2 linked regions of the Oryzias latipes genome follow. The protein of the gene in region 2 interacts with the protein of the main gene of each other region in a pairwise test. Links are inferred from orthologs where the notes say so. Each region holds a gene or a part of one and is shown on either strand. Other genes may lie near its edges.

Region 1 (6,376 bases), on a different chromosome or scaffold from region 2:
ACACTTAACATACCTCATCCATCAAATTGACCCAGGAACATCATCTCTGTTCCTCACAAATGAACATAACAGGAGGGTTAACAATGTATTTATTTCAATTTAGTTCTAATATAAGTCGCTGCGGAGTATAAGTCGCACCTCTTGCCAAACTATGAAAAAAAGGGCAACTTATAGTCCGGAAAATACGGTATGTGATGGATGAGTCTGGGTTTGGAGCTTGGCATAAGAGCGGTACATTTAGGACTGCATTGTGAAGAGTGTGAAATTTGGTGGAGGAATTATGGTGTGGGCTTGTTTTGAGGACTTCAGCTTGTTCCCTTAGTTCCAGTGAAAGGAAATCTGAATGCTTCAGGACAAACATTTTGGACAATTCCATGCTCCCAACCTTGTTGGAACAGTTTGGAGCTGGCCCCTTCCTCTTCCAACATGACGGTGCACCAGGACACAAAGCAAAGTCCATAACGACATGGATGACAGAGTCTGGTGTGGATGAACTTGACTGGCCTGCACAGAGTCCCGACCTGAACCCCATAGAACACCTTTGGGATGAATTAGAGCAGAGACTGACAGCCAGGCCTTCTCCCCCAACATCAGTGTGTGACCTCACCAATACGCTTTTGGAAGAATGATCAACATTGTGGACAGCCTTCCCAGAAGAGTTGAAGCTGCAATCGCTACTCAAGGTGGACCCACAATACATTGAACTTTATGGGTTAGGAATGGGATGGAACTTCAGTTTATGTGAGGCAAGGCAGCTAGGCACATAAGATTTACGTAAAATGTGTAAACTGCGTAATTTTTCACGACGGCTCCTCTGGTGGGAATAAAGACCCTTGAAAATTTCAGGTTGGAGTTTTTATTGAAAGGATTTTTATGACATGAAAGCACATGGTAAACAGTTTACAAAAGAGCTGCATGATCGACTCAGACAGAAACGTCTGGATTTCAAACCCAAGTGAAGCTTTTAGAGTATCACTGCCCTCCCGCCTTCAAAAATACAAACTTAAGGTAAACACATAAAAGCAAACACATTAATAAGTATGCACAAACAGAGTTCCACCACAAAATCATGCCTTTAAAATAAAGCCTTGAATTTCCCAGCTGCTCTGAAACATATCCAGAACATTTGGTACCTCACAACTAGAAACTACACTTTCAACTAAACAGGTAGTGATTTCTGTGTTTGAGGGCACCCCCCCTCCTCTGACAGACAACCTTCACCCCACAGGGTCACAGGTCATCGGATAAGCACGTGCCCCAAGCGAGTGCACGGACTGGTCTGGTCATGAAAACTGGATCTGCTGCACAGTAGGGATCTGGAATGGAGCATGCTGGGATTGTAGTTCAGTACCGTCAAAGAGTCTTGACAGAAGATGAGGGGCTTACCTGCTGATATGAGGTGGTGTACACCATGACGTTCTGCTGCTGGCCGTCTGCTGTAATGATCCCTGCAGGAAGTGGGTTTGCTGCACACAAATTCACACATGAAGAACATGAGCAGTAGAGAGAACCTCACTGTTGGATTCAACTTACTGAAATCATCTGTTAGCTCTTCACTCAGTCCCTCCCCAACCGACACGCCTGCAATCCCCTTTTCTCCCTTCATCGCCTGAAGAGACCAAAAACGACAAGACATTTGCACCGAAACTTACACAACGGAGGTAACTCCTGTAAAAACTCAAACCTGCCGTTGGAGCAGCAGAAATGGATGTAAACATACAAGAGCGCGGGACAAGAGAGACGCTACAGACAGGAAGTCAACATACAAGAACGAAGGACAACAGAGACACAACAGACAGGAAGTCGACACACAAACGCGGGACAACAGAGACGCGACAAACAGGAAGTCAACACACAAGAACGAAGGACAACAGAGACAACAGACAGGAAGTCTACGCACAAACGCGGGACAACAGAGACGCGACAGACAGGAAGTCAACACACAAATGCGGGACAACAGAGACGCGACAAACAGGAAGTCAACACACAAGAACGAAGGACAACAGAGACACAACAGACAGGAATTCAACATACATGAGTGCGGGACAACAGAGACACAACAGACAGGAAGTCAAAACACAGACGCGGGACAACAGAGACGCGACAGACATGAAGTCAACACACAAATGCGGGACAACAGAAACACGACAAACTGGAAATCCAAACACAAGAACGAAGGACAACAGAGACACTACAAACAGGAAGTTAACAAACAAACGCGGGACAACAGAGACGCCACAAAAAAGAAGTCAAAACACAAGAACGTGGGACAAGAGAGACACGACAGACAGGAAGTCAACACACAACAGCGAAGGACAACAGAGATGCTACAAACAGGTAAATCTAACTGTGTAATGTAACAAGCTGCAAAACAAACATGCACCACTGCAGCTTGGGTGTGTGACAGCATTTAAGGACAGAAGGTAAAGTCACACCTCTCTGAACTTTTGCAGGTAGAGCTTCAGTGGATCCACGTACATATCGAAGCCCAGCGTGGACATGGCAAACAGGATGTCCTCGCCGTTGATGGTCTTCCTTTTCTCCTGGTGGCAGCGCTCACTCGCCTCCGATGTGATGAAGCTGATGAACTCGCTCACACACTCCTGCACACACTCTTTGGCATCTTTGGCGATCTGTGGTGAAAAGAGGAGAAAGCAGGTGAGTTGGGGTGAGGAAGGCCTGCAGCCAATAAGGAGCTCTGTTTGCAGTTTTGGGTTTTTCCAGGCTTTTCTTTAGATGTTTCTAATACATCATCTGTATGGTGTGATGATCAAACAGGTGATCTTTAACAAGCTCATAAACTTTTTTCCAGCTGTGGCTACATCCGTTTGAACCGGTTTACCACGCGGATGGATCCCTTGCACCATCTGCAGGTGTGATCTGGTGCCTGCACTGCTCTGTTAAAAGTACAGGAGTCTTTGTGAGCATGTTCACAACCCAACCACCTCCTAAAGACACGTTTTTGCGAGGTGCTTGAGCTGAAATTTGATTTCAAAGTTAAGCAGCAGCTCACATTCCAAAACATCTTCTTAAGACTTTAACAAACCTTTCCAGTTTGAGGAACAGCGTTCTTCATGATGCGTGCCACGTTTGCAATAGGCAGATAGATGTCCTGCTCCCTGTAGTTCTCCTTGGAGCCCCCCTCCTCGTGGTCATTCATGCTCTCCTCTCCATCTTCTGCAGAACAGACAGAGCAGCTCTTCAGGATGTCACCTGGTTTGGTGGGGAGCTGTCAGGAACGGGAGATCCTTACCATCCTGGGGTTGGAGAACGTACTGACCAGAAGCCATGTATTCTCCGGTGATCCCCAGCTGAGATGTGTCTGTGGTGGAGCTGTCTCCGTCCATCTCCCACAAGTTCAGAGCAGCTGATTGAAAGTCAGTAAGCTGGAGGGATGCAGATCAAACGTTCCTGTAACCAAGCAGCACAAGGGGACCATCATTTCAGCATGAAGGCTGGGCCTCTGGAACTTATTCTGTCCTCAGTAAGGTCAAAAAGGTTCAGTTAAAAATATGAAAGTAAATGGAATCGTTTACGGCGAGCAGGAATCGAACCCGGAACCAATAACAATTGAAATGCCTGGATCGTTTGTTTTGGCTGTGAGGCTGTTTCTCCGTGATGGACCATTTCTCTGCCCAGAGCTTCGCGGGGACAGCAGCTCGGATAACGGAGCTTCAGTGCTGCGTTCAGGTTCCAGTGTTTCATACAGAAATGATGCGTCCACCCCGCAGACATGGACCCTGAAGACCGTTTCGCTGTTTTCTCTTCATAACAGGAGCGAAGTCTGAGGCCCGCCCGGCGGCGTGTCAGACTGAGCCCGCCGTTTGTGAACATGATCATCAAAGGCTCCGTGGGAGTTAGCTGCCGGTCTGCAGACGTCAACGAGGTGCGTTTAGCTAGCGTTAGCAGTGGTCCCGCGGCACGGGAGCGAGCGGAGCCGGCGTGACTGAGTGCCCAAGAACCGTCGGTGGTTTCCGCGCACAGAGAAGCGGCGAGTGTGACGGACTTTCTCGTTAGGGGGACGCCTGAACGGGACGCGGCGTCTCCGGCAGTCGTGCTCATTGTGAACCCGCGGCAATCTGCTCCTGCGTCGGCCTGTTCTTTGTCAGCCTAGCCGGAGCTGGGCCCGGGCGTTCGGCGGAGTCTCGCCCGCAAACACTTCCTGACGAGCAGCCCTCACTCATTGAGACAACACGTAAAAAATCAGCCATCAACGGACATTTCCATTCGAGCTAACGACGAATCGGTTAACAATCATTGGCCGAGCCCGGCACAAACCTGCTATGAAGCCCTGGTTGGTTCCCTCCCTGAGACGGCTGTTTGGTTGGACAGAAAATGGCTGCGAAACGACCAGTCCCAGCGCGGAGCCGCGTCTGCACTACCGGTCTCGGCCGGCAGGGGGCCGTGGTGCGTTCCAGGATGTCCCGGAAATCTCACAATTTGTTACCTGACATAGAGTACAAAGAGTGTTGTCTTCAAACTGCGTTCATAAGAGCACATTTTAATTAATGAGTGCACACTCATAATATTCAAGAATGAATAGACTGGATTGATTTGCCTTTTTTGTCTTTTATACCAAGCAGTTAATTCTAATTCTAGAAAATCCAGTTGTTACGACAGTAATATGTATCAAAGTGCGCCTTTTCACCTTTGACACAGAAAACTAGTGAAGTTGTGGTCTCGTGTGTTTTCCTTTTGTCCTCAAAAAGCCAAAATCCCAAACTTCTATAGAGAAATAAACAGCTGTTACTCAGCCATTCCATTGGTCAGAATACCCATTCTTGCCCTTAACATCTTCTTGATAATCCTCTTTTCCCATTAATTTATTAAATTTATAAACTATCTAATCAGATGCCTCAGCTAAAGCATGCTGTGCCCACTGGCCCCCATGTCAAACATTCAAAACATTTCAGATTTTGTCAAGCACGTTTTCAGGGGTAGGGGCGTGGACTTCCAACAAGCTCACTACTGATTGACAAGAGTGGTTGCCATAGAAATGACGGCTAAGACCACTCGGACAAATCCCTTCCCACTGACATTAGCCGCGGTTACATGTGCAAAATGTTTTGATCGGATCAAAGATTGATCCAAGTGTTTTGCATCTGTAGTGAGCAGGATTTATAGTATCACTAATCATGAATAAAATATAAAGGAGCTTGTTTGTGCAGATTTTGTTTTAATTAATTTGTTTAACTAGATGTACCAAAACACTGAAAAAGTTTTCATCCTTTGACTAAAAAAGCACTAAATAATGATCAAAGTTGTTCCTAAAAGTAGATTGCAATGATCAGTTGTAGCATTTTATGATCACTGTGTCCCCAACCTTATGCATCTTCCATGACATCTGCTATGTGACTGTTGTTGTTGTTGTTTGAGGTGCTGTTTTTTTGATGAGATAGTTATCTTTGAAGCAATTCTGTGTACCTGCTCCAAATGTTCCGGGAGAAAAACTGTCCCTGCGTCTTTAGTTCCGGCCTCTTTGAAGCTACATTTTCTCAACAGCGAGTCGATTCATTTCATTGTCCTGCTGCTGACAGACTCCGTAGACTACTGGGTTCAGTCTGTTGTCTGAGAGCTGAGTTTTTGTTTCAATCTGTGGAAAGGTGTGACGGTGTGGCACCGTCAGATGCCGAGGGGAGGCCACACCGGATTTTATTGGTTGTGTAATAATGTGTTTTGTTATTCATTGTATGTTATAATTTCCACCTGTGGTGCCGCCTGGCTGGGAATTGAGAGCAACGCCCCGTGGGTGTGGCATCCCACTTAAAGGTGAGCACTGCAGGTGGCGAAAAGAGAGGAGTGACAGAGTGTGCTGCGTGGCCCTGCGCGGTGCTCACAGTATCGGAAATAAAGACAGATCATCCTCACCTTGGTTCCTCTGCATCCTTTCTCGGCGGGACCCCGCCACATTTGGTGTCAGAAGTGGGATCGCAGAGGAGACCACAAAAAGGTGGGGACGCAGCGGCGTGGTGGGGACGACGACTCCCCGGCAGCTCAGCACCTCCTACAGGTACTTCATCCTCTAAGGAAGAGGGGGTGGATCCGGGTGGCCTTGGCGGTGCTTCAGGCCTGGCCAGGGGCCCGGAAAGCACTACGGCGTCCAACTCGGCGCCCATGGCGAGCGGCGGACCACGCGGACAGCAGGGGCGGACCGCCGGAGCGCGAAGACGGCCGGAGGCGGGACGGGCATACCGCCCGGTTCCACTGCCGCGGATGCGGGCGTTGGAGGCCTGTGCGGAGCTGGACAAGGGGCGGACCGACGTCTACCGGGCCGTCAGGGGAGTGCTCCGGGAGAGGCGTCACAACTCGCCTGTAACCTGCTGTCGGCGGCTCCGATCGGCTGAGGTGCCATCCGGGAGGAGACCAGCGGGGGCGT
Region 2 (6,293 bases):
GCCACTTCCCACTGAGCACTCTGTGGTTGAGGGCCAGCTCCTTCACGGTCTGGAAGGTGACAGGTCTGCCACTGGCCAGGAGTTTCTCCCAGCTCTCCCAGAGACCTTCAAGGTCCTTGTCACTGGACTGGTCACTAGGGCCCCTCACAGAGATCCACCCCACGGGGCCGACGCCACTCTCCTCGTCACCAAACCTGCGCACTTGGGAGGGCCGGTTACTCTCCAGCCAGGCATCAAACTCCGATTTGGGAGTTTTTCTGCAGTCAAAAATAATCCAGGGATCCATGTCTCCAGCCAGGGCTTCGGCGGCATAGTGATCTGATGCAAAGTTCTCCCTTTCACCGTTGGCAGAGGCCTCTTCTTCCTCCATGATGCCGTGAAGGTGAGACTGGAACCGAGCAAGGAGTGTGGAGCTCCCTGCTGAAAGAAAGCAGGAGTTGTGTTCATGACGGCACGAGTGAGGGAGACTTACGCAACACAGAGGCTGAACTTTGGAGCAGCATCTTAAGGCCGTGTCACACACCCACTACGTTCCTTTTGTACATATTGCACAGATAAAAATGACCACACAAGGAAAAAGTGAGAAAAGTCGTGGTCTTTACGTGAAATTTTCAGAGCTTTATCACGATGAACCACATTAAAACCACGGAAGAAGTAAAAATGAACCAAGCAAAGAACACGATTTGTGCCTAAATTACGTAATCTTACTGTGATATATGCTGTAGATATAGTATTAAAGTTGTAAATTCATTGGTGTTGCATGCGTGAAAAATCTATTAGACACACGTGCAGCTTTTATAACCTCCTGGTGTTCTACGTTCCTCACTGTATGACATCTCTTGAAAGAAAAAAGTCAAAAATCAACAACTAAAACACAAATGTGAGTCTCGCCCAACCACAGAGGAAGTTTGACCTGTGGACCCACCCAGATGAATACAGTGTTTTTTTTAATGTTTTTACTGCTGATGGAGGAGATTTATAATAAAACATAGACGTAAACATTTATTTTTGAGGATTTCTTACTTCAAATTGTTGTGAATGAGAAAAGCATTAAAGGTAAAGATGGAAACAATGCGGCGACCCCTGAAGGGAAATGCAGAAAGGTGAACAATAAGGATCAGGTGTGTTATAGCAGAGGCGTCCTGGTAATGCTTTAGGGGAACACGGTCCATCGACCATCCACGATTGAATCACGGCAATCTCTTTTCATACACCTTTTACTCAACAGAGTCCTTGAATGATTTCTCAGCATAAACTCAAAAACACCAAATGACTGGATGTTGCTCATCTTTTGTAAATCTGAAACCCCTTCCAGAGCAAAACGTTGCACAAGGATAAGTCTCTCCAGTCAACAGGAGCCGATCAATCTTTACGACGATGCAGGGCGGGTCGCTCCTGAACCGCTGGATAACACAGATTTATCTGTAAGACATGTACGGCTGATAAAACAGATTCAGGGGGGGTCAATAAAAAAACGTTTTCTGTCTTTACATCGTCCATACCACACGCCTGAATATTTGAAATCCTTCGTGACTGACTACTAAGTTTATGGGAAAAAAACTGTTAAGGAATCATTTACATGTTTAAAAAGATGAAAAAATAAATGAATAATGCAGGCGTTTTATTTGTTTCTAAACCAGTAATAAAATCAGAGACATGACGTGTTCTAGATGTGACCGTTCACCCCTCAGTGGCATGGTTCCAGGCTGTTCTGCCTTATGAATCTGGATGATAATCTCTTTATATGTCCACCAGACCAAATCTTGAATTTCTCTTTGTTGCTTTTTTACCCACAACTGTGTAATATTAAACCCTTGGGCCACAAAGGGGTCTAAGATTTGGCAGAAAGGCCGGACCGGGAGCTGTTGTACAGAGTGTTTTGGTATCACAACTCATGAGATGAAGAAATAACGTGGAATCTTGACAAAAACATCTGTAGCTTTTGATAGAAAATTGACATACATGTAGAACATTTTGGTGTCTTTATTTCAAAACTGTGGCTTTTCTTCCCATTTTAGAGCCATTTGCACCAATGGATTGATGTTCCTTTAGGGAAAAAGTAAATTAGAGTAACGCTGCGTTCAAGTGGAATTGGAATGATAGAAAAATGCTTCCCAGAAAAACAACATATATTCCAAAACCACATGCAATGCAAAATGAGCTTCTGCATCTGAGCAACAGCCCATTTATTTGTAGAGAACCATCTATGGGGAGGCACCAGAATTACAGGGAAAAGCAGGAAACTGGTTTGAGGCTGCATTTATCTTTTTTCTTTCTTTTTATGTCTGTCCACTTGTCCATTACATTATTTTCTAATTTTGTTTTGTTTTTTTGTTTTTGATGTTTGTATGAATATTTTTCGTTGTTTTTTTGTTTTTAAATTCTTAGTTAATTTTGGATTTTTAAGGGCTATCACCTCTGAAGGGGGATTCATAGCATTTAGGGGAGGACATTACCCCCCTTGCCCATGCCTGTATACGGCCTCGATTCACCGCTGTAATAAAAAGATACACCTGGAGAGGCTGGTTTGACATTGAACAGTTTTAAGTGTATCACAACCTTTCTTCTTAATGAAAACATGACTGGACTTTATTTTTTGTTTCTTAAAAAATGTTCCATTAAAGTATTATGTAGTAGTATTAGTTTTTTGTGGCTTTTCAGGACACTATTTTTTTTTCCAGTGATTTGCTGTTGTGTTTCAGTATTTGTTCATTTTTACTGGGATTTGTTGTTGTTGTATCTGGCACTTCTCGGCCACCGTATTTTTTCTCTACACACTAATGAAATCTGAGAGTAGCGCAGCAAGTGCCAACATGACCGGCGCTAGGACCTGGCAAAAGCAAACGGATCCCTTCAGCTCCTCAAGCAACGAGGAACGAGATGACGACAGCGCGCTAACAACTTAGCCGGATAGCTAACGCTATCTGGTGTACGTGCGGTGGAGGTGAATTCACATGAAATAGCAGTATAACCCCAAACATTTAACATTTTATTTTAGCTCAGTCACCAGGTTATTTAATTATGCCGAGCAAAAAGAAGAAGTACAACGCCAGATTCCCTCCGGTGAGTATAACCGTAAACTATCGGGTGTTGGGAGTCGCTAGCATTAGCAGACTGAGTGGGATTTGGCCTCTTTTGTTGCCAAGAGAATTAACAAGCTAAAGCAAGACTTTTCTAATGCAATTCGTTCTCCATCACCGAGATATTGTCCGTGTAAATAAAGCAGGTAACTAACTAATTCACGAGTCGTTCCCCGAGCAGTTTAGGCTGTGCGCCCTGTTGTTTTTAGCCTGTTATGCTAATCCTAATCTGGTATTATAGCTGTATAAACGGACAGTGATGGATCACAGCGCTGTCACGGCACGGCGCCCTTTAAATGTCACGTTTCTGCACCATCTAAATGAAGTTCTGGTTTGGTGTTTGTGGGATTTAGCTGATAAAGTCACACCATTATACCGATGGATGTTAATATTAGACAATAAATATTGGGATTCAGATGATAATAAACGAATCTGGGTGTAAAATTACAATAACCAGAACACGGGCTTTGATTTTAGAGATTTTGATTTTAATGTAAAGAGTCTCAGCAAGAGTGGATTAAACATAAAACTGGAATATTGAAAGACAACGCAATGTACAGAGGATCTCACTAAAGTGAGTACACCCCTCACTGTTTTCATTGGACACAAGACTTTTCGACACAATAAAATGTAGTCCGTGTTCATCTTTTATAGTAGTGAAAATTTTTTTCTTAAAAAATGACTATTAATATAGCCAAACCCCTGGCAACAAAAATGAATTTGGCATTTTCCTTCTCCGATATCATGTGACTCTTTACTGTTACAATGTCTCAGGTGTCAATAGATAGCAGGTGTGTTAAATATAGCATTAAAGCTCTTACACTCTCTCAAACTGATCACTGGAAGTTAAACATGGCTCCTCATGGCAAACCACTCACTGAAAAGAAAAAAAAGAATTGTCGGTTAACGTAAAGATGGCCTAGAAGGTTACCAACGGAAACGGTGCCCCCAAGACCATCCAGCGGTTTAAAAAAGACAGCTTTGACTCAGAACAGGTCTCGCTGTCGTCGGTCAAAGAAGTTCGTCGCACATTCACAGCATCACATCCAAAGCTGACCTTTGACACACATATGTATGAGAGCGTCGAGCTTTGCTGCAGGGGTGAGCCTGTCAGTGCTCAGACTATACGCCACAAACTGGTCTGCATGGCTGTTGTCCCACAAGAAAGACTTTTCTAAACGCGATGCACAAAAAGGCCCAGAAGTCAAGCAGACTAAGGAATGGATTACATGTTCTGTGGTCTGATGAGACCAAGATAAACCTGGTTCAGATGGCGTCAACCAGGTGAGGAGGACAAAGACAAGGGTGTCTTGCCTACAGTCAAGCACGGCGTTGGTCGAGTCATGGTGTGGGACTGCATGACAATTGGGGGGGGGGGGGGGGGTACAGAACCCCCAGCTTCTTCTCCTTTTTTTACATACTTTTGATGATTTTTACACAATAATTCTACAATGAGCATCAAGCTGTTCATAAAACTAAGTAACTTTTTACTGTAAAACCCACAAAAATTGAGATATAACAGTTTTTATATGTTTTAGAACAAAGATCAAATATGTGTAGATAAAATTAAAAGGCATAAATCCAAAAACAAAGCAAAGGTCAAAACAATGAGAAAACAGGCAAAGCTCCACTCAAAGCACTAAGGGGTATCACAATTACAGTATGTGTCATAACTCTTGTTATGTTATTTTAAACTAAAAATGTTAAAGCTAATAACCTTTTGAAACCTTCAGGTTTGATTTTGAATAGAAACGATGCAGATGAGGGTGTCGGATTTATAACTGTGTCATTGTGGCTGACAAACTCAACTGTGGGTCTGCAGAGGGCTAATTTGTTTCAATATTCCTTTTGCTTTCTCTACTTTTCATGGTTAGACTGTCACCTCTTTGGATAAACTGCCTCAGATTGGGCGTTTTTTTCTTTTGTTAAACATGTCGTCCTCTCATGTCCTCACGTAACACCAGACTGTTGTCTTTTCAGGCAAGGATCAAGAAGATTATGCAAACAGATGAGGAGATAGGAAAAGTGGCTGCAGCGGTTCCTGTCATCATATGTATCCTTTGCAAACGTGTTGGAACGTCACAGGGCCTTGTGGGATTTTTGCATGTGTGCAAACCTTTTGAACCGCTGCCCGTGTTTGCAGACAGAGCACACGCATGTGTGTCGCACTAATCAGCTTCATCTCAAGGGCAGCGGTCAGCAGATTTGTGCATCTCTGCAGGTTTGGTTCTGGTTTTTGACGCTTCAGGAGGAAGCGGTCTGTGCAGACGTTTTGTGCAAACACGGGTGAGTTATTATGTTCTTAATCAAAGCATCAGCCAGAGCTCTGGAGCTGTTCCTGGAGTCTTTGCTCACAAAAGCCTGTCAAGTCACGCAGTCGAGGAACGCAAAGACCATGACGATGTCCCACCTGTAAGTTTCTGAAAGAATCCGCTCTCCAAGAACACGTGAAAATGGCTTTAGCAGATGAAAGATTTTGGAGGATGTGTGCCAGTTACATCCATGTTGCAGTAAGGAAAAAAAACAAAACAATGGAAAGGCATTTCGTTGTTGTTCCGCTCAGTCTGCTGGATGGGAATGACTGGAATGGATGTGTGTTTTTTTTTCACTCCAGAAAACAGTGCATCGAGTTGGAGCAGCAGTTCGATTTCCTAAAGGACCTGGTAGCAACGGTACCGGACATGCAGGGCGAAGGGGAGGACAACCACATCGAAGGCGGAGGGGAAAAAGTCCAGCGCAGGTATCTCTGTCCCACAGGTGGACGTGGAGAACAGAATGAAATGAGGCCTAGCAGCTGCCTATGTGATCACGTATGTGTCACGCTACAGAATAACCTGGTCTGTGTTTGAGCAATGAAAATGTGCTCATGGTCTTCTCTTGTCCTGAATTAGTCAGAAGGCCTCTTGTTTCACCTGGCGACCTTAAAGGGCCTATAACATGATTTGCTGAGGCTTTTCAGAGTAAACTATGTCCATATACGGTGGGGCAAAAAAAGCATTTAGTCAGCCACCAATTGTGGAAGTTCTCCTACTTGATGAAGGAGGCCTGTAGCTTCATCATAGTCATAGGTATACCTCAACTATGAGAGACTAAATAAAAGAAGAAAATCACATTGTCTGAATTTTAAGGAATTTACTAGTAAATTATGGCGGAAAATAAGTATATGGTCACCCACAAACAAGCAAGATTTCTGTCTGTCACAGACATCTAACT

The links.
Region 1: the proteins of drap1 (region 2) and nfyb interact in binary tests that used the Homo sapiens proteins (3 or more experiments, as listed by UniProt). The two-hybrid records come from large-scale screens. The link is inferred for Oryzias latipes from reciprocal best matches to the Homo sapiens genes DRAP1 and NFYB.

Annotation. Positions count from the first base shown.
Region 1 is NC_019881.2:8,917,131-8,923,506, reverse strand, and holds nfyb (nuclear transcription factor Y subunit beta), read right to left. Parts: upstream 4,409-6,376; 5' UTR 4,279-4,408; intron 4,228-4,278; exon of another isoform or gene 3,537-4,227; intron 3,412-3,536; 5' UTR 3,348-3,411; coding exon 3,254-3,347; intron 3,178-3,253; coding exon 3,047-3,177; intron 2,634-3,046; coding exon 2,436-2,633; intron 1,610-2,435; coding exon 1,534-1,609; intron 1,467-1,533; coding exon 1,387-1,466; intron 1,317-1,386; coding exon 1,284-1,316; 3' UTR 841-1,283; downstream 1-840. UniProt on the Homo sapiens protein: Component of the sequence-specific heterotrimeric transcription factor (NF-Y) which specifically recognizes a 5'-CCAAT-3' box motif found in the promoters of its target genes.
Region 2 is NC_019876.2:27,235,199-27,241,491, forward strand, and holds the start of drap1 (dr1-associated corepressor), read left to right. Parts: upstream 1-2,811; 5' UTR 2,812-3,021; coding exon 3,022-3,063; intron 3,064-5,060; coding exon 5,061-5,133; intron 5,134-5,398; coding exon 5,399-5,492; intron 5,493-5,694; coding exon 5,695-5,820; intron 5,821-6,293. Other genes in the region: UPF0696 protein C11orf68 homolog, read right to left, coding at 1-370. UniProt on the Homo sapiens protein: The association of the DR1/DRAP1 heterodimer with TBP results in a functional repression of both activated and basal transcription of class II genes.